2 linked regions of the Lonchura striata genome follow. The protein of the gene in region 1 interacts with the protein of each later gene in a pairwise test. Links are inferred from orthologs where the notes say so. Each region holds a gene or a part of one and is shown on either strand. Other genes may lie near its edges.

What was found.
Region 2: the proteins of DRAP1 (region 1) and POLE3 interact in binary tests that used the Homo sapiens proteins (3 or more experiments, as listed by UniProt). The two-hybrid records come from large-scale screens. The link is inferred for Lonchura striata from reciprocal best matches to the Homo sapiens genes DRAP1 and POLE3.

What each region holds. Positions count from the first base shown.
Region 1 is NC_134638.1:274,333-284,445, reverse strand, and holds the start of DRAP1 (dr1-associated corepressor), read left to right. Parts: upstream 1-5,945; 5' UTR 5,946-6,023; coding exon 6,024-6,065; intron 6,066-6,775; coding exon 6,776-6,848; intron 6,849-7,373; coding exon 7,374-7,467; intron 7,468-8,134; coding exon 8,135-8,254; intron 8,255-9,118; coding exon 9,119-9,206; intron 9,207-9,642; coding exon 9,643-9,722; intron 9,723-10,113. UniProt on the Homo sapiens protein: The association of the DR1/DRAP1 heterodimer with TBP results in a functional repression of both activated and basal transcription of class II genes.
Region 2 is NC_134624.1:4,747,074-4,757,435, forward strand, and holds POLE3 (DNA polymerase epsilon subunit 3), read right to left. Parts: upstream 4,353-10,362; 5' UTR 4,311-4,352; intron 4,109-4,310; exon of another isoform or gene 4,086-4,108; intron 3,921-4,085; 5' UTR 3,911-3,920; coding exon 3,845-3,910; intron 3,254-3,844; coding exon 3,168-3,253; intron 2,485-3,167; coding exon 2,366-2,484; intron 1,895-2,365; coding exon 1,734-1,894; 3' UTR 1,632-1,733; downstream 1-1,631. Other genes in the region: regulator of G-protein signaling 3-like, read left to right, coding at 9,028-9,141. UniProt on the Homo sapiens protein: Accessory component of the DNA polymerase epsilon complex. Participates in DNA repair and in chromosomal DNA replication.

The DNA.
Region 1 (10,113 bases):
ATATCCCCCAAAAAAACGGGATATCCCCCCCCCCAAAAACTGGGACAGCCCCAAAACCCGGGTCAGCCCCCCAAAAACCGGGGACATCCCCCAAAAACTGTGGACATCCCTCAGGCTGGGGGCACACCCCAAAACTGGGATGTCCCCCAAAATCAGGGACACCCCCAAAACCGGGAGACACCCCCATGGGGCGGTGGGAGCACCCAAGATTTGGGAACCCCCCCAGAAGAGCAGGTGGTATCTCCCAAAATACTGGGGATCTCCCTCCGGGGCGGGTGGGACCACCCAAAAACGGGGGGCGACGCCCAAAATACGGGACCCTGCCAAGAGTCCTGGGAACCCCCAAAATTCGGGATCCCTGCCCCGGAATGTTCGGGGGGATCCCAAAATCCAGGTGGAGCCCTGAGCCAGCCCAGTTTTGGGGGCAGTTTCCAGAATTTGGGGATCCAGTGCGTGAAGAAGCGGGAGCTGGAGGCGGCCGTGGCCGAGCGGATCCGCACCAACAACAACCCCTTCAACGGTACTGGGAGCACTGGGAGAGACTGGGAGGGACTGGGAGGGAACTGGGGGGAACTGGGAGGGAACTGGGAGGGAACTGGGGGGGAACTGGGAGGGACTGGGAGGGACTGGGAGGGAACTGGGGGGGAACTGGGAGGGACTGGGAGGGAACTGGGGGGAACTGGGAGGGAACTGGGAGGGACTGGGAGGGACTGGGAGGGAACTGGGGGGAACTGGGAGGGAACTGGGAAGGACTGGGAGGGAACTGGGAGCGATTGGGAGGGAACTGGGAGTGACTGGGAGGGACTGGGAGGGACTGGGAGGGAACTGGGGGGGAACTGGGAAGGACTGGGAGGGAACTGGGAGCGATTGGGAGGGAACTGGGAGTGACTGGGAGGGACTGGGAGGGAACTGGGAGCAACTGGGAGGGAACTGGGAGGGACTGGGAGGGAACTGGGAGGGACTGGGAGTTACTGGGAGGGAACTGGGAGTGATTGGGTATTACTGGGAGGTCACTGAGGACAGTGCTGGGGGCGTCACTGGTCTGTACTGGTCTGTACTGGGCAGTGCCAGGGGAGCAGCGCAGGGGCGAGTATGACCTGGGGGTGTCACTGGGGGTACCTGGGTATGTTAGTGGTTTGTACTGGTATATACTGGTCTATACTGGTTTACACTGGTCTGTACTGGTCTGTACTGGTTTATACTGGTCTGTACTGGTTTATACCGGTTCTCACTGGTCTGCACCGGGCAGTGCCGGCGGAGCAGCGCGGGGGCGAGTACGACCTGGCCGCGGTCCGGCTCTGCTTCCAGGTGTGGGTGAGGGGCCCGGGGGGGCTGCAGCCCCTCCCCCCCGTCCTGTCCCAGCCCATCTACGACAACCGTGAGTGGGACACGGGGACACGGGGACAGCTGGGGACACCTGGGACACCTGGGGACACCTGAGTGACACCTGGGACACCGGGGGGACATTGGGGACACCTGGGGGACATTGGGGACAGCTGAGGGACACCAGGGGACAGCTGGGGACACTGGGGACACCTGGGGGACATCCCTGAGACCCATGTGGGACATCCCTGGGACGTCCCTGGGACACCCAAGGGACACCTGGGGACACCCGAGGGTGGCCCGGGACCCACGGCGGCCCCGCGCTGTCCCCAGGTGCCCCCAGCACGGCCGAGCTCCGGATCTGCCGCGTGAACCGCAACTCCGGGAGCTGCCGGGGCGGGGACGAGATCTTCCTGCTGTGTGACAAGGTCCAGAAAGGTCAGGGGGCACCCCGGGATGGGGACAGCCCGAAACGGGGCACCCCAAAAACGGGGCACCCTGAAAACGGGGCACCCTGAAAACGGGGACAGCCCGAAACGGGGCACCCCAAAAATGGGGCACCCCAAAAATGGGACAGCCGAAAAACGGGACACCCCAAACCCGGGACACCCCAAAGCTGGGACACCCCAAACCTCGGACACCCCAAAACCTGGGACACCCCAAAACCTGGGACACCCCAAAGCTGGGATGTCCCAAACAGGGCGATATCGGTGTCTGTGTCCCCCGGCTTTGTTCCTGTCGCTGTCACCTGTCCCTGTCCCCGTGTCCCTGTCCCTGTCCCCGTGTCCGTGTCCCTGTCCCCATCCCTGTGTCTCTGCCCCCATGTCCCTGTCCCCATGTCCGTGTCCCCGTGTCCCTGTGGTGTCCCCGGGGTGTCCCCAGCATGTCCCCATCCCCATGTCCATGTCCATGCCCATGTTCCTGTGTCCATGTCCCCATCCCTGTCCCCGTGTCCCTGTCCCTGCAGCGTCCCCGTGTCTCTGTCCCCATGTCCATGCCCATGTCCCCGTGTCCGTGTCCCCCGCGTGTCCCCACTGTGTCCCCGTGCCCGCAGAGGACATCGAGGTGCGTTTCTCGGCCGAGGGCTGGGAGGCCAAGGGCTCCTTCGCGCAGGCCGACGTTCACCGCCAGGTCGCCATCGTGTTCCGCACGCCGCCGTTCCGGGACCCCGCGCTGCGCGCGCCCGTCACCGTGCGCATGGAGCTGCAGCGGCCCTCGGACCGGCAGCGCAGCGCGCCGCTCGACTTCCGCTACCTGCCCCACCAGGGTGGGCTTCGGGGGGCTGCGGGGTGGTTTTGGGGGGCTGGGGGTGATCTGGGGTCCCTGGAGCTTCAGTTCCCATTGATTTCCTGTTCCTGCCCCACCAGGGTGGGCTTCGGGGGGCTGCGGGGTGGTTTTGGGGGGCTGGGGGTGATCTGGGGTCCCTGGAGCTTCAGTTCCCATTGATTTCCTGTTCCTGCCCCCACCAGGGTGGGCTTCGGGGGGCTGCGGGGTGGTTTTGGGGGGCTGGGGGTGATCTGGGGTCCCTGGAGCTTCAGTTCCCATTGATTTCCTGTTCCTGCCCCACCAGGGTGGGCTTCGGGGGGCTGCGGGGTGGTTTTGGGGGGCTGGGGGTGATCTGGGGTCCCTGGAGCTTCAGTTCCCATTGATTTCCTGTTCCTGCCCCACCAGGGTGGGCTTCGAGGGGCTGCGGGGTGGTTTTGGGGGGCTGGGGGTGATCCAGGGTTCCTCTGGGGCACTCCTGGGTCCCTTTGGGACATTCCCGGATCCCTGGAGCTGCAGCACCCCGGTGGAGTTCCACTGCCTGCCCCACCAGGGTGGGCTTCGGGGGGCTGCGGGGTGGTTTTGGGGGGCTGGGGTCCCTTTGGGGCATTCTCAGATCCCTGAATCCCATTGATTTCTATTCCTGCCCCAACAGGGTGACCCTGGGGGGGGTCTATGGGGTGCTGCGGGGTCTTTTTGGGGGGCTGGGGGTGATCCAGGGTCCCTTTTGGGTCACTCCGAGGTCCCGTTCTGGTTCTTTTTGGTTCCTTCTTGTCACCCTGGGACGCTGTGGGGTCTCCTGAGGTCACTGATGTGACTGGGAGGGGACTGGGGGTCACTGGGAGGTGACTCTGAGTGACTGGGATTAACTGGAAGGTGACAAGGAAGTCACTGGGGGGTCACTGGTGTAACTGGGAGCTCACTGGGAGCTCCCTGGTGTCACTGGTGTCACTGGTGTCACTGGTGCAGGGGACCTGCAGTGCATCGAGGAGAAGCGCAAGCGGACGCGGGAAACCTTCCGCTCCTTCATCCAGCGCAGCCCCCTGCCTGGTGGGGCTTGGGGGGCTTCGGGGGGCTTTGGGGGGATTGTTGGGGTCCCTGGGGGGTCTAAAGGGGAAATTGGGGGTCCTTGGGGGGAATCTGGGGGGGTTTGGGGCCCCTGGGGGAGTCTGGGGGGAGATTTGGGGAACCCTGGGGGGAGGCTTGGGGTCTCCGGGGGGGTGTAGAGGAGGAACTGGAGATCTTGGGGGGGCCTTGGGGGATTTGGGGACCCTGGGGGATTTGGGGTCCTTGGGGGTGGTCTCTGAGGAGGTTTTGGGGTCCTGGGGGGGTCTCGAGGGGGAAATGGGGGTCCCGTGGGGATGTTGGGGGGGATTTGGGGTCCTGGGGGGATCATTTGGGGTCCTGGGGAAGGGTCCAGGGGGGATTTGGGGTCCCTGGCGGGGGGTCCCTGACAGTGGGACCCCCATTTCCCCCCCCCAGCTCCGGCGTCCGGCGAGTCGCGGCCCCCCCGGCGCCTGGCGGTGCCCTCGAGACCCCCCCCGGCCCCCCAGAACCCCCCCAGTGCAGGTGAGGGGGACTGGGGCACTGGGAGGGACTGGGATGGAACTGGGAGGGACTGGGATGGAACTGGGAGGGATTGGGTGGGACTGGGATGGAACTGGGAGGAACTGGGGTGGGGGCAAAAGGGGAAAACATTGGGGGGGAATTGGGGAGGGTGGGGGGCAAGGAGGGAATTGGGGAGGGGGAAGTGGGGGAGGGGAGTGAATGGGGCCGGGGGCAATTTTGGGGGGAAGATGGCGGGAACTGGGGGGGGTCGAGCCCCTCCCTCACCCCTTCCCCTCCCCCCAGCTCCCTCCTTCTCCTTCGGGGGTCCCGGGGGGCTCCTGGGGGGCCCAGCCCCCCCCGAGCCGGAGCCTTTGGCCGAGGCGCTGCTGCAGCTGCAATTTGAGGAGGGGTCCCCCCAGCTCGGGGGGGGCGGCACGGCCCCCCCGCTGGATTTGGGGGCGCTTCTGGGGGGGGGGACTCCCCCTTCCCCGCCCTGGACCCCCTCAACGCCTGCGAGGTCCAGCGCCTGCTGGGCCCCCCCGAGCCCCCCCGAGCTTCGGGGACCCCTCCCCGGATTTCGGGGCGGGGGTTCCCGAGCCGCCCCCACCCCCCCCGGATTTCGGGGGCCCCCCCATGCTGATGTCGTACCCCGAGGCCATCGCCCGCCTGGTGCAGAGCCAGCCCCCGGGGGCGCCCCCCGAAATGGGGCTGGGGGCCGAGCTGGCCGGGGGTCCCGAGCTGGGGGGGCTGGGGGGGCCCGAGGAGTCGCTGCCCTCGCTGGGGGAGCTGGACTTGAGCACCTTCCTCAGCCAGTTCCCCTCCTCCTGACTGGGAGCCACTGGGAGGGCTTGAGGCTTTACTGGGTGTTACTGGGAGGGGTCCAGCGTTTATTTGTACTTACTGGGAGGCTTCTAGGGCTTACTGGGGGTCACTGGGAGGCTTCTAGGGTTTACTGGGAGGCTTCTAGGGCTTACTGGGAGGCACTGGGAGGCTTCTAGGGCTTACTGGGAGTCACTGGGAGGCTTCTAGAGGTTACTGAGAGGCTTCCAGGGGTTACTGGGAGGCTTCTAGGGTTTACTGGGAGGCTTCTAGGGGTTACTGGGAGGCTTCTAGGGGTTACTGGGAGGCACTGGGATGCTTCTAGGGCTTACTGGGAGGCATCTGAGGGTTGCAAGGGCTGACTGGGAGTTACTGGGAGGTTTCTAGTGTTTACTGGGAGGCTTTTAGGGCTTACTGGGAGTCACTGGGAGGCTGTTAGGGGTGACTGGGAGGTTACTGGGGGGCACGGAGAGGTTTCTAGGGGGTGCTGGGGCTTACTGGGAGTCACTGGGAGTTCTCTGCGGTTACTGGGACGCAACTGGGAGTCACTGGGGAATCTCTGCGGTTACTGGGAGGACGCCAAGTGCCGGCTGGGGGTCACTGGGAGCTACTGGGACACTCTTGCCGGGGTCACTGGGTGCCTTTTTGGGGGGTGCCCCCTTTGCCCCTCCCCCGGCATTAACCCCGCCCCCATCGAAGTGCCTGGGGGGGAGGGGAAAGCCCCGCCCCTCCCCCCTCCCCCCCCCGGGGGTCACCCCAATAAACGGTCCAAGGCCCGCGTGGTTTGATTGACAGCTGGGGGCGTGGTCATGGCGGCTGGGGGCGTGGTTTCCCATCCGGGGGGGCGTGGTTTCGCCTCCAGGGGGCGTGGCCAAACTGGCGCGGCCGCCGGCGGGGCGGGGCGCGCTTTTCTTGCGGGAAGGGGCGTGGCCTCGTCCCGGAAGGGGCGGGGCGGGGAGGCCGCGGCGGAGCCGAGCGGGGCCGGGGCCGGGGCCGGGGCCGGGCCGGGAGCGGCGGCAGCGGGGCCGGGCCGGAGCCTCCGCGATCCCGCCGGGGCCAGCGAGGCGGCCATGCCGAGCAAAAAGAAGAAATACAACGCGCGCTTCCCGCCGGTACCGGCTGAGGGGGGACGGGGGCGCCATGGCAACGGGGAGGGGGCGGTTACCATGGTAACGGGGGCGGGGGGGGCGCGGGGGTTACCGCGGCAACGGGCGGGGTCTCGGCGCCATGGCAACGGGGGCGGGGCCACGGGGGCGCCGTGGGAACGGGGAGGGGGCGGGGCTTGGGCGGGCGGGGCCGCGCGTGAGGGGCGGGGCCTGGGGTGGGCGGGGCCTGGGGTAGGTGGGGCTCAGGTGAGGATGGGGTCCTGCAGGTGAGGGGGTTCAGGTGAGGATGGGGTCCTGCAGGTGAGGGGGTTCAGGTGAGGATGGGGTCCTGCAGGTGAGGGGGTTCAGGTGACGGGGGGCTGTGCAGGTGAGGGGGGGCTGTGCAGGTGAGGGCGGGTTCAGGTGAGGATGGGGTCCTGCAGGTGAGGGGGGGCTGTGCAGGTGAGGGGGTTCAGGTGAGGGGGGGCTGTGCAGGTGAGGGGGGCTGTGCAGGTGAGGGGGTTCAGGTGAGGATGGGGTCCTGCAGGTGAGGGGGTTCAGGTGAGGGAGGGCTGTTCAGGTGATGGGGGCTCAGGTGAGGGCGGGTTCAGGTGAGGGCGGGGCTGTTCAGGTGAGGGGGTTCAGGTGAGGGGGGGCTGTGCAGGTGAGGGGGGCTCAGGTGAGGGGCGGCTGTGCAGGTGAGGTCGGGGCTCAGGTGAGCCGGGGCTCTGTGGCAGGCGCGGATCAAGAAGATCATGCAGACGGACGAGGAGATCGGGAAGGTGGCGGCCGCCGTGCCCGTCATCATCTGTATCCTCTGGCACACCTGGGCCCCGCCCTGGGACCCCGCCCTGCTCACCTGGGCACCCTGGGACCCCGCCCTGCACACCTGGGCACCCTGGGACCCCACCTGGGCACATCTTGGACCCTGCCCTGCTCACCTGGGCACCCTGAGACCCTGCCCTGCTCACCTGGGCCCCGCCCCAAGACCCCTCCCTGCTCACCTGGGCACATCTTGGACCCCGCCCTGAACACCTGGGCCCCGCCCCAGGACCCCTCCCTGCTCACCTGGGCACCTCTGGGACCCCTCCCTGCTCACCTGGGCACCTCAGGGACCCCACCCTGTGTACCTGGGCACCTCTGGGACCCCGCCCTGCTCACCTGGGCACCTCAGGGACCCCACCCTGCTCACCTGGGCTCCCCCGCCTTGCACAGCCCGGCCCCCCAGGTGCCCCTACCTGTGCCAGCTGAGGCTGCCCGTGCTGGGGGGCGCTGGGAGGGTTCACCTGCACCCGCGGGTGCCACCTGCGTACCTGGCCGTCCTTAGCGTGGCAGCGCGGGCGCTGGAGCTGTTCCTGGAGTCGCTGCTGCGCAAGGCGTGCCACGTCACGCAGTCCCGCAACGCCAAGACCATGACGACGTCCCACCTGTGAGTGCCCAGTGCCACACCTGTTCCCCCGTCCCACCTGTCCCCAATGTCCCCAGTGTCCCACCTGTGAGTGCCCAGTGTCACACCTGTCCCACCTGTGAGTGCCCAGTGTCACACCTGTCCCCCCGTCCCACCTGTCTCCACCTGTCCCACCTGTCCCACCTGTTCCCCCGTCCCACCTGTCCCCAGTGTCTCCAGTGTCCCACCTGTGAGTGCCCAGTGTCACACCTGTCCCCCGTCCCACCTGTCCCCAATGTCCCCAGTGTCCCACCTGTGAGTGCCCAGTGTCACACCTGTCCCCCCATCCCACCTGTCCCCAGTGTCTCCAGTGTCCCACCTGTGAGTGCCCAGTGTCACACCTGTCCCCCCGTCCCACCTGTCCCCAATGTCCCCCCTCTCCCACCTGTCCCCACCTGGCTCACCTGTCCCCACCTGTCCCACCTGTCCCCACCTGTCCCCAATGTCCCACCTGTCCCCACCTGCCTGGGACACCTCTGGGAGGTGGGGAAGGGTCCCTGACACACCTGAGGCCCCTTTTGGGGCTGGGTGTGGCCTGTCCCAGGTGTGATGGGCGTGGCCAGGTGGGTGTGGTCTGTCCCAGGTGTGGTGGGCGTGGTTGGGTGGGCGTGGTCGGGCGGGTGGGCGTGGTCTGAGGCCCCGCCCACAGGAAGCAGTGCATCGAGCTGGAGCAGCAGTTCGACTTCCTCAAGGACCTGGTGGCCGCCGTGCCCGACATGCAGGGGGACGGCGACGACCCCCACGGCGACGGCGAGCGGGGACCCCGCAGGTGGGGCACACCTGGGACACGCCCCGATACCTGGGGGGCACCCGGGGACACCTGGGGGACAGCCCTGGGAAACCTGAGGGATATCTGGGGACACCCCTGGACACCTCGGGGACACCTGGGGACACCTCTGGACACCTGGGGGACACCCCTGGATATCTTGGGGACACCCCTGGATACCTGGGGGACACCTGGGGACACCTGGGGACACCCCTGGATATCTTGGGGACACCTGTGGACACCTGGGGGACACCTGCGGACACCTGGGGACACCCCTGGACACCTTGGGGACACCCCTGGATATCTGGGGGACACCCCTGGACACCTGGGGGACACCTGGGGACACCCCTGGACACCTTGGGGACACCCCTGGATACCTGGGGGACACCTGGGGACACCCCGGGGACACCCCTGGACACCTGGGGGACACCCCTGGATATCTGGGGGACACCCCTGGACACCTGGGGGACACCTGGGGACACCCCTGGACACCTTGGGGACACCCCTGGATACCTGGGGGACACCTGGGGACACCCCTGGACACCCCGGGGACACCCCTGGACACCTGGGGGACACCCCTGGATATCTTGGGGACACCCCTGGATACCTGGGGGACACCTGGGGACACCCCTGGACCCCTTGGGGACACTTGTGGCAGAGCTGGGGACCACCCGGGGATATTTGGGGACACCCCTGGACACCTGGGGCGGGGGGTCCTGGGGTACCTGGGGGCACCTTGGCACACCTGAGGTCCCTGACGGGGGCGTTAGGAGGGATTTTGGGGTGCAGGCTGGGATTTGGGGCAGTTTTGGGGGCAGGGGTCTCTAATTTTGGGGGGTCTCTAATTAGGGGGGGGGTCTCTTTCAGGGGGCGCCGCCCGGGCAGTGGCCGCAAGAACGGGGGTCCCGGGGCCAAGGGGACCCCAAAACAGTCGGGGACAGACTCGGAGCAGGAGGTGGGGGGGTTTTGGGGGGTCCCAGAGGGGTTTTGGGGGTCCCGGGGGGATTTTGGGGGTCCCGGGTGGATTTTGGGGGTCCCGGGGGTGTTTTGGTGGGTCCTGGGGCCAAGGGACATTTGGGAACGAACCCAGAGCTGGAGGTGGGGGGGGGTTTGGGGGGTTTTGGGGACACCTGGACCCTTGAGTTTCCTTTGGGGGGACCCTGGGGGATTTTGGGGGTCCCCCCTGAAGGGGATTGGCCGTTCCTGGTTGTGGGGTCACTGCTGGGGGGGTGGATTTGGGGGGGTCCCGGGTGGATTTGGGGTTTCCGGGACCCCTCTGGGGAGGGGTTTTGGGGGTCCCTGGGCGTGGGGAGGTTTGGGGTCCCCGGGGAGGGTTTGGGGTCCCCGGGGTGGGTTTGGGGTCCCCTCATTGTCCCCCCGTGTCCCCCCAGGAGGAGTCTGAGGACAGCGACAGCGACGGGGACGAGGAGACCCCCCCTCAGCCCCCCCCGGCCCCGCTCCCCTTCGCCAGGTGGGGCTGGGGGGGCAGAGAGCACCGGGGGCGTTTTTGGGGTGGTCCCGACAACACCTGGGCCGTTTTTGGGTTGTTTTGGGGGGATTTTGGGGTGTTCCCCCCTCCCTGAGTCCTGGGGGGGGTTGGGTGGATCGGGGGTGTCCCCCCCGTGTCTCTGGGGGTTTTTTTGGGGGCGTTTTTGGGTTTTTTTGGGGGGCTTTGGGGTGTTCCCCCCTCCCTGAGTCCCTGGAGCGGGGTTTGGGTGGATCGGGGGTGTCCCCCCCGTGTCTCTGGGGGGGGTTTGGGGGGATTTGGGTTTTTTTGGGGGGCTTTGGGGTGTTCCCCCCTCCCTGAGTCCCTGGGGGGTTTGGGTGGATCGGGGGTGTCCCCCCCGTGTCTCTGGGGGGGG
Region 2 (10,362 bases), on another chromosome or scaffold:
AACCTCTGCCTGGAGCGAGGGGGAGCTGATAGCTCCTTCCCCCAGCAAACATCAGTGACCTGGAAATCCCCTCCTTCGTTCCATAGTCCCCCCCTCCTCTCGCACGGAGGCCAGGCTGCAGCAGCCTTCATCCTCCCCTCATCCTCCTCCATGTCAGCTGCTCCAGAAACTACTGCTCCCATCCCACTTATGCAACCACAACCTGCTCATTTTATAACTGACTGAAATACGAGACTCCCATTTCTGTAAAAAAAAAAAAAATCTGGCTTTTATTTAGATCTCATTCCCTTCTGGAATATACACCCCAGATATGTGCTGAAGAGAAAGGAAAAAAAAAAAAAAAGAGAGGAAAAGAGCTGGAAGGTGGGGAACACATCATCAGCTCAGGCTTTCCACAGCCTGACTGAATGCCAGCAGAAACTAGACAGCAGAAAATCTGTGTTGGTTCAGTTCTTTTCAGAGGCTGGGCTTGTGTGCGTGTGAAAATGCAGCGTGCCAGGACAGCAGGAAGGCAGGGTGGTTCTTGTGGGTAGCTGCCACCATTTTGTTGGTGGAAAGGATCCAGGATTCCTCACAAGTGCCATTTTAAAACTGCACATCATCAAAACCTGGGGGTTTTAAATGTATCCAAAACTTTCTGGGGGAGAAAGGCATCAGAACTAAGAGATCAAGTAGAAAAGCACAAACCTACACTCACACAAGGGATACCAAAAGCTTCTCTCAAGCCTTCCTTCTTGCAGGAGCCTTTTGTGAAACCACATGGGCCCCCTGGGTGGGCACACCCTGCCCCTGCTGCCCTCCCAGAGGCATCCGTGTCCCTGGAATGACCAGCAAAGGCTACAGAGGGACCGTGGGTGGAATTAGCTCATCCCAGCTGGGAAGAGTGGAAAAGACAACCACCACAATTCACCATTCTGCTCTAGCACATCTCAGCTTGCTGCAGGAGCTGCTGCTGCAGGGGGGCAGGCGAGACCCCAGTGCCACCACTGACCTGTCCCACCCCCAGCACTGCACAAAGCCATCTGTTTTCAGCCTTGCTCCCCATTTTACCCCCCACCTTGTGCTTCAGATTTTAAGTCAATCTCGTCCTTGTCTCTCAGGGCTCTCAAAGACACTTTCAGTGTACCGTTTACCCCGAGATCACTGTGTGTTTTTCGGATTTGGGTTAGTTTGGGTGAGTCAGTGAGTGAACTCGTCACTGTACAGCCACCCTGTGCTGCTGCTGAGGCTGGAGGACACAGTGTCACTGTCACAGTACAGCAGGGAGAGAAGGCACAGCCAGGATGCAAGGAAACAAAGGGAAAAAAACAACTCAATTGGATCAAAAGCTTCAGTGTGCAGCTTCCAAGCCTCTGGACATCATCACCTACATTCTACACCCCAGAAGTGATCTCTGAATGATCTACTGCATTCAGCCCCTCAAAATCAGGAGTCTTTCTCCTGGCCAGTTTCTGCACTGAGCACCCACCAGTTCTTTTTTCCTCTCTTTCAGAGCCAGCCCAGCATCAAAAGCCCCGGAAGTGCCTGCCCAGAGCCTGGGGAGGGCCAAAGGCCCCCAGGCACAGGGAGGAGCCACCCTGCCACGGAAAAAGCTTCAGCACGAGTCCTTTACAAAGTACAGGCCACAGAGGGGCAGTACAAAGCTCTAATGGATACACGAGGGGATGCAGCACGGTCGATTTACAGCGTTTACATCCCTCTGAGCACACCCCAGCCCTTGCCCACGAGCGAGCTCAGTTATCCACCTCTTCCTCATCGTTTTGTTCTTCCTCCTCCATCCTTTCATCATCCTCATCATTGTCCTCCTCTCGGCTCTTATCTTGTTCCTCCGAGTCTGCCTTCTTGTCTTTATCTTTCCTGGCCTCCTTCTTTCCTTTCTGCTCACGCCTGTAAACTGGAGGAGAGGGAACAGTGAGGGCTTGGCGCTGGCATGGACAGGTCAGTGGCTGAGGCCCAACGTCCACTTGCTCTCCTGGCTTTGAGGGGAGCAGGGAACTCAGAGCACAACTCACCCTACGAGCTGAGCTGTGCTGAGCAGCTCCATAGGAAATCAGGTTAAATTTCAGCAGAAAAATGCTGAAAAGGACGCAGGTCACATTTACAGGCAGCACCTACGGCTTTCCTTAGATAAACATAATAGGGGAGTGAGAGCAGATGAGACTTTCTCAATCCTCATCAGTTGTGCAAGAATGTTATCCCAGTCCTGTTAAGGTGCACATTAGTTACTCCCCAGGCAAACTGCAAGGTAGGATGCTGGGCAAAGAGAAGAGAAACAAGACAGGCAATAAGTGTTGCTTGTCCAGCGTTGGAGGAGAACAGGACTTGGTGCCTCTCAGAGTCCCTGGACACCCACGGAGCACAGTACCTTCCAGGGATTCCTTCAGAGGGGCCACGAATCTCTGGAACTCCATCTCCTCCATGGCAGAAAGCACGTCCCCAGCATTCAGGGTTTTCCTCTTCCCCTTCATGGCAAAGTTATTTGCACTAGGCAGAACCAAAAAGAGAGGTAATTGAGGACTGTTGGCAATTTCATCTTGTTTACTGAAGTCATAAGCAACTTTAAAAAGCCATCCCCTAAACATTTAGGTTTCTTTACCATTTACTAAAGGAGGCTTGAGACATTTTTATTTACAATGTCTGTGCTTTCCCACAGGGTTAGTTTCTGCCTGCACAGACCTTTTCTACAAGCAGGAGGAGAAAGCCTGAGCCTTGGCTGTGACAGTTCCACAGAGCCCTAGAAGGGCTAGGGTTCCATAGAAGCCCCTGACACTAGAGGAGTGACTGCCTGCAGAGAATACGCCAAGCCACCCCAAAAACGTGACTGTGTCCTCTGTGGCAGCTCTTGCCCCAACACAGCTTCATGATGAAGAGCCTGAAAATGAGTCAAGCGCTCTGCCTTTGCCAGGAAGGCTGTGCAGCCACGTTCTAAGGTTAATGGCAATTTGGGACCCCTCTTTTTGGGGACCCCCCTTTTTTGGGACATGGCTGTGTCCAGAGCCCAGCTACCTTCCCAAGGGCTGCTCTGGGCAGTCCAAACCCACCTGCTGCAGACTAGTTTATTTATATAAACAGGCAAAACAGAAAACCAACACTGGGAGAGAGTCCCCAGGCCAGCAGAAATGAATTATCAATCAAGTGCCCCAGTGACTGCTGCACCAAGTCCTTACCATGATGTTGCATACAGCACAAACACACTTGCTGCTCGGGAGATCGCGCTCCGGGCTTCTTTGGAAATATTGACTCCCTCAGGAAGCTGAAAAACAAATCCAACTTTTATCAGCAGCTGCTAAAAACGACTTAAACTCCATAATTGAAGTGTCAGTTTGTTAAAACACTCAGAGGGCTCAGAAGAACTGGGAACTGCTCTGGGGTGCTGTCGCAGGAGCTCTGCTTCCAGCTGGAAGCCAAGGGCAGTAGGAATGTGTCCCTCGAAGGCACAGAGCTGAGCACAAGCCCAATGACTCCGGCGTTTGGGGTCTGGCCACTGTCTCAGGTAACTCATCCTGTGCCTGCCCAGCTCCAGACACGCCCGCCAGGCCCAGATCCACTCGGCAACCCTCACAGCTCCAGAGCAAACGCGCTCAATCAACCCCAGCGAATTATTCTGGATTTTTATATAGACATGGACTCGTGTGCTGAAGTTTCAGGGGGCCTGGTTCTCACAGTGCCACTGCGGGAACTGCGCTGCTGCCGAGCTGCAGCGGTGCAGCCGCGTGGCTCGGGACGCTGCAGCGGTGCAGCTGCATGGCTCGGGAGCTGCAGCGAGCGCTGCAGCCCCGGTACCCGAGCGGGACAGCGCAGGGCAGAGCCCGCGGGCCGGGGCCCCGCGGGGCCCGGCACCCACCGCCTCCTTGATGATGCGGGTGATGACGGCGTTGGGCAGGTTCAGGTCCTCCGGTCTCTCCGCCATCCTGGGCCTCCTGCAAGGCAAACGCGGCGTCAGGGGCGCGGGGCTGGGCGGGATCCCGCGGGACGGGGGATCCCTCAGCACACGGACCCCTCACGGCCCCTCAGCACACGGGCCCCTCACGGCCCCTCAGCACACGGATCCCTCACGACTCCTCACGGCCCCTCAGCACACGGACCCCTCACGGCCCCTCTCGGCCCCTCAGCACACGGATCCCTCACGACTCCTCACGGCCCCTCAGCACACGGACCCCTCACGACCCCTCAGCACACGGACCCCTCACGGCCCCTCTCGGCCCCTCAGCACACGGACCCCTCACGGTCCCCCTCGGCCCCTCTCGGCCCCTCTCGGCCCCTCAGCACACGGGCCCCCTCGGCCCCTCAGCCGCCCGGCCCGCCCGTACCCAGCCGCGCTCGCCGCCCCGCCCGCTCCCGGCGCGCACCGCGGCGGGAAATGGCGGCGCGGCCTGAGGGACGGCGGGGACAGGCAAGGGACAGCGAGAAGAGGCAGGCGTAGGAACGGGAAAAGGGCAGGCGTGGCTGTAGGTGTATGTATGCATGCATAGGTGTAGGTGCAAGTGTAGGGACAAGTGCAGGTGATGGGACGGGGACAGATGTAGGTGAAGGGACTGGGATGGGTTTGGGTGTAGGTGAGGGGATGGGATCAGGTGTAGGTGATAATGTGAGGACAGGTTCAGGTGTAGGTGAAGGGAGAGGTGTAGCTGAAGGGACTGGGATGGGTTCGGGTGTAGGTGAGGGGATGGGTTCAGGTATAGATGAAGATTCAGGTGAAGGCACAGGGACAGGTGCAGGGGATGGTGCACGGACGGATTCATCTGTGGGTGAAGGGACAGGTTCATTGGTAAGTGGTGGGACAGGTTCAGGTGCAGGGGATGTTTCAGGGACAGGTTCAGGTGCAGGGGATGATGCAGGGACAGGTTCAGGTGCAGTGATGGGACAAGTTCAGGTGCAGGGGATGGTGCAGGGACAGGTTCATATGTGGGTGATGGGACAGGTTCAGGTGATGGGACAGGTTCAGGTGCAGGGCATGATTCAGGGACAGATTCACGTGCAGGGGACGGTGCAGGTACAAGTTCAGCTGTAGGTGAAGGTTCAGGTGAATGCACAGGGACAGGTTCACCTGTAGGTCCAGGTGGTCACACTGCCGTTACTGGGGGCTGCGAGCAGGGCCAGGCACAGGGGGAGCTGGGGCAGCCCTGGGGCAGAGCTGCTGCCTCTGGGAATGTTCCCAAGATCCCCCAAAGCCCTTGGGATCAGTAAGGCTCCCTCTAAGGCAGTGTGACACTCTTAGCGAGTCAGGCATTTCTGTATCCTTAGCCAAGAATGTGTGTAGCTGACAAAGCTCCAGCATCTGCACTAACACAGATACAAAACTTTTTCACTTATTTGTACATTTTTAGCAAACCAATTCATGTTCATTTGCTCTAGGTTACATAATTCTCTTTATTACTTAGTGTTCTATCTGCTCTTGGTTGTTAATTTCTCACTCTTCACACTAATCTGGTCCACATACTTTATTACTTTTATAATCTTTTTCCCAGTCAGGGAATCTCCAACTTTCCATGCCTTAATCTCCTCTGCATTTTTTGCTTACTCCAACACACTTGAAGGGTCATAAATTTAAGATCCCAGATGTCCAATCTCCAACTCCCTTTGGCTTTGTTTATTGAAGCTTGGCTGAGTTACTTGTAGCAAATCTGAGGTTTTGGTTATTTAGTGATCAAAGTAATTGTAAGAGCCTGTGAAGAAAGTTAACTAGTGCTATCTGAATGTGGGCACTGGTTGCAATTAATTAAAACAATTAAGAGAGTTACATAATTTCCAACAGGAAATAACAGCTGTTTTCCCCACACTGGGTTCTGGCCTCTTCCCTTGTGGCTGTGTGAGGGCACAGGGCTGTGAGCTTCTCCATCCCTGCCCCACTGGCTCCATGCCTGGCCTAAACCCTGTAATTCCATGAGACTTTATCCCTGTTGGTAACCTGACCAGGTAATTAAGCAAGCTCAGAGTGCAAGAAAGCACATTAATTAGGTGCTGTGGTGATATTTGAAATTGTGAGCAGTGATTGACAGTGCGGCTCTTTTCCATGGAAAATGGGAATTTCCTGTTACCAAGGGCAGTGTTTCTGTTGTGGGGAGAGTGGGCAGAGATTTGTGAGCACAGGTGAAGGTAACTGTGCTGTGCTGGGAGAAGCACACCCTGAGTACACCTGGGCCAGGCCCGTGTGAGCCCCTGTTCCAGTTCCAGGGACTGGATTAATAAACTCCGTCCCTGCTGTACAAATCATGTGTAAGTTTTGGTTTTAGCTCCTTTCCATGTGCTCTGTTGTTAACCCTGGCTGCTGGGTGTTCCTGGGCAGGTGTGGCAGTGCTGCCATTGGGAGGGGGCATTCACACATGGCAGGCTAGCTGCTGTGACAGTGACCATGACAGGTTGAGCTGCTGTGACAGTGACCATGACAGGTTGAACTGCTGTGACAGTGACCATGACAGGTTGAGCTGCTGTGACAGTGACCATGACAGGCTGAGCTGCTGTGACAGTGACCATGATAGACTCGGATCCTGGACAGGGGGGTGGCTCAGAGCTCTTGGAGCCCTTGGGAGCCCCTGCTGCTCATTTTGGCTTCTGTGTTATAGAGCATGAGGTGTTCTTGTCCATGAATTGAGAACCAAGCAAGTTGGTGGTGTGATACTGCCTGGAGAAGGGGTGGGATGGAGCAGAGCCAGGAATGGGGCTGCCCAAATCCAGGGATATGGCCCAAAGCTGCCCCATTCAGCAGCAAAGCCTGGGCTGGGACCATCCAGCTCTGTGTGTCTTCTGGACACAACAGGCTCTCCTCCCTGGTCCCTGGTGTGAGTCTATGTTTGTTTTTAATTACAATGTCTGGAGATTGGTACATTGAGTCCCAGGAAGGGACATTAAAGCCCATTCCATGGACAGGGACACCTTCCACTGTCCCAGGTTGCTCCAAGCCCTGTCCAGCCTGGCCTTGGACACTTCCAGGGATCCAGGGGCAGCTATCCTGGCCTTATATCCTGTAAATCCAGAGCCTTTATTTTAAATCAGCTTCCTAGTCTTGTTTCGCTGTCGTGTGTAAAACATGGAAGATGTTGAGCATGCAGTGCTCAAGTTTACTGCTGCGAGTCACATTTTACACTGCAACAAAAATATTGTTCCATGTACACAGGTATAAATACAGTGACAGAGGAGCAGCAGCTCAGCTCAGCCTGAGAGGGAAAGAAAAACCATAGGACAATATGGTCCTTCTGTACTTCAGGGAAAGGCTATAACAGATTTAGATTTAAATGCTTTAAATTAGATACTAAGAAAGCACCCTGGCAGGGTGGGCAGGCCCTGGCACAGGGTGCCCAGAGCAGCTGTGGCTGCCCCTGGATCCCTGGCAGTGCCCAAGGCCAGGCTGGACAGGGCTGGGAGCAGCCTGGGACAGTGGGAGGTGTCCCTGCCATGGCAGGGATGGAATGAAAGGATCTTTAAGGTCCCTTCCACATTCTGTGATTGTTTGATGACTCTGTACTGATAGTCAGGAGATGAACACTGTGATTTTTATGCCTGCAGTGAGGGTGGGCACTCCTTTAGCCTGCTTGTTTTTCACAACATTGCACAAAAATGTGACATTTAAGGTTTATCTGCAGGCACAGAGCTTACCCAGCAATGTTTGTACTCCTCAGAACCCACTGTTAGTACAGAGGGGCTTGAATCTCACTTGACTTCTGTGAAAATGACACTTCAGCATCATCATGGCCAAAGAAAAAAATATTAATACAAAAAATACAGATTATTCCAATGTAGAACAGTCACTGTGGAACGCCTATATTTTTTCCAGCACTCTTGAAGCCCTGTTTGGATGGGTGCCATCCAAGTCCTGTAAATAAGAGGCTGTTGTTGCAGTAACAGCTCCTGTAGAATCAGGGATGAGGTGTGCCAGGACGTGGTGCACAGGGGAGTTCTGAACAGCAAACCCTTCCCTCTGGGCACTCCCTGGCTCTGCTCTGAATGTTGTGGGGTTGCAGGATTAACTGTGAGGTCTTGAGCCTGAGAAGCGTTCAGTGCGTTCCTATCCCCGTGAGTCACTTCACACCTCTCCCCCTCCTAGTGCTGAACGGATCCACCCGGCTCTGGGTGACTCAGGGGACAGGGCAGCGCTCAGGGGACTCAAAACAAACAGCAAGAGACCCAGTGGTCACAAGGCAGGAGGCGAGGACACAGGAACACATCCCAGACTGGTGCTGGATGAGACACAGGGACACATCCCAAACTGTTTTGGATGAGGGATGAGACACAGGGACACATCCCAAACTGGTGTTGGATGAGGGATGAGACACAGGGACACATCCCAAACTGGTGTTGGATGAAGGCAGGAACACATCTCAAACTGGTGTTGGATGAAGACAGAGACACATCCCAAACTGTTGTTGGATGGTTTGCACTTACCAATTTAAATTTCCTTGAGAGACTGTCCACGATTGCTCTGTTTTTTAAAGTTTTTTTTCCTTTTGGCCATGGAAGAAGAATGAATGTGAAAGACTCAACAGCATCCTTTTTAAAAATAAGCTTCACTTGGTCATTTTAATCTCTAAATTTTTAAGGGCATCAGGCCTCTAACTGAGAGCTGGTGCCTGGAATGATTCCATTTTTCCTCCCCCTAAAGACAGGCCAGGCACTGCAGGCAGGAGCCTGGTCCCCAGAGGATGGAGCTGTCCCTTGGAGGTGTCACTCACACACTTCTCTTCCTACCTCAGGCCCTCTAAGTTTAGCTCACCTCTGATGGAGGCCTCCGAGGCAGCACTTTCAAAATATCTTCCTGGCATTCTTTTTTTAGCCATAAACGAATTCAGCAGTTTTAACTGTCAAAAAAGCGCCAGCCTAAAATTCTGCTGATTGAGTGGACTTTCCTATGTGACCTAAGACAGAGACTTGGACAAATCCTGTGTACCAGGTCAGGAGCTATTTTCAGCCACATGGACGGACTATTGCATTAACTGTAACTTTGTTATTCCCTTTGGAAAGTGCTTTGGGAAGGAAAGCTGTAGGGTAACCTCTGTGTCACCTCTCCTGGTGTTCATTCAGGTTTGTGGCACCATGAATCTTGCTCCTGTTTTTGCCGTGCTCCAGCCAGAGCTGAGCTCTGCAGCAGGGTCAGACATCCCCTCACCTGGACAGATGGCCCTGGTGCTCTGGAATAACATGGGGAGAGTGAGTGGTCTCAGCTCCCAGGGAAGGGAATGCCTTCCTGATCATGGCTAATGGGATCCTGCTTAAACAATATGGGCAATAATCAAGCTGTGCTCAGCTAATTGATCCAGAACACCAATTAATCCACAGAGGTGGCTTAAAGGTGCCCCAGTAAGGCTGGGCTAATGGTGTGCCACTACACAAATGAGATCCAACTCCTCCTATGTCTACCAAATGTACATTAAAGTTGACTCTGCAGCAATAGAAAGTCCTTGAATTGAAAATGTTTGGGGCTGGGCAGCTATTGTAAATGCAGGCAAACCCAATGGGAAGAAGTGACGATGTCTGACTCAATTCAGAAGGCTGAATGATTTCTTTATTATAACTGTGCTAAAATACATTAATATGCTATATAAAAGGAGGGTACTAAAGCTACATACTACTTTCTCTGACTCTAACACAACTCGTGACCCTCTCTGAGAGCCCAGCCCCAGCTGGGTTGGATTTGTCATCAGGTTCAAACAATCCTCACCAGAATCCAACCAAGCAACCACCCCAGGTAAACAATTCTCCAAACACATTCCACATAGGAAAAACAAGGAGCAGAAACAGAAATTGTTTTCTCTTTCATTTCTCTCTGTGCTCCTCTATGAAAAATCCTGAGAGGGAGAGAAATGTGCTGGCCACAGGCAGCTATTTTGGAAAATGTCTCATGCCTGCTCTGTTGTTGTGTTCTCCCCTGGGCATCACCTTCTGACATGGAACAGGAGCTTTGTCTGACCCAATGGATCTGCTTTTATTTTCTTCAATGTTCCTGAATATACTTTCTCCTTAAATATTCTTGTAAATATTCCTCACTGAGAAGGCGGTGATCACTGGCAAAAGATCCCTGGGGAAGTGGTCATGGCAGCAAAATTGCCAGAGCTCCAAAAACATCTGGAGTGTGTGGTTAGTCACAGGATTTAATTCTAGTCCTGCAAGGGAGTGGGGCTTGATGATCCTTCTGGGTCCCTTCTAGCTGGAGAGACCCTGTGTGCCTGTTCCCATGCTTGGGCTAAAGTGGGGAGTCAGATCAGAGCTCTGGGGGGAGAAAGGAGGCAGCTGCCCTTGGAGCAGCAGCTTCACTCTAAGACCAGCTTAATTTAACATAAAAATGTCAGAGAACCTTGGTTTACTCTGTCCAGCCTGGGAATGGGGCCTTGCCAGATGACAAAGGAGATCTCTGTCAAGATAAAAGCCAAC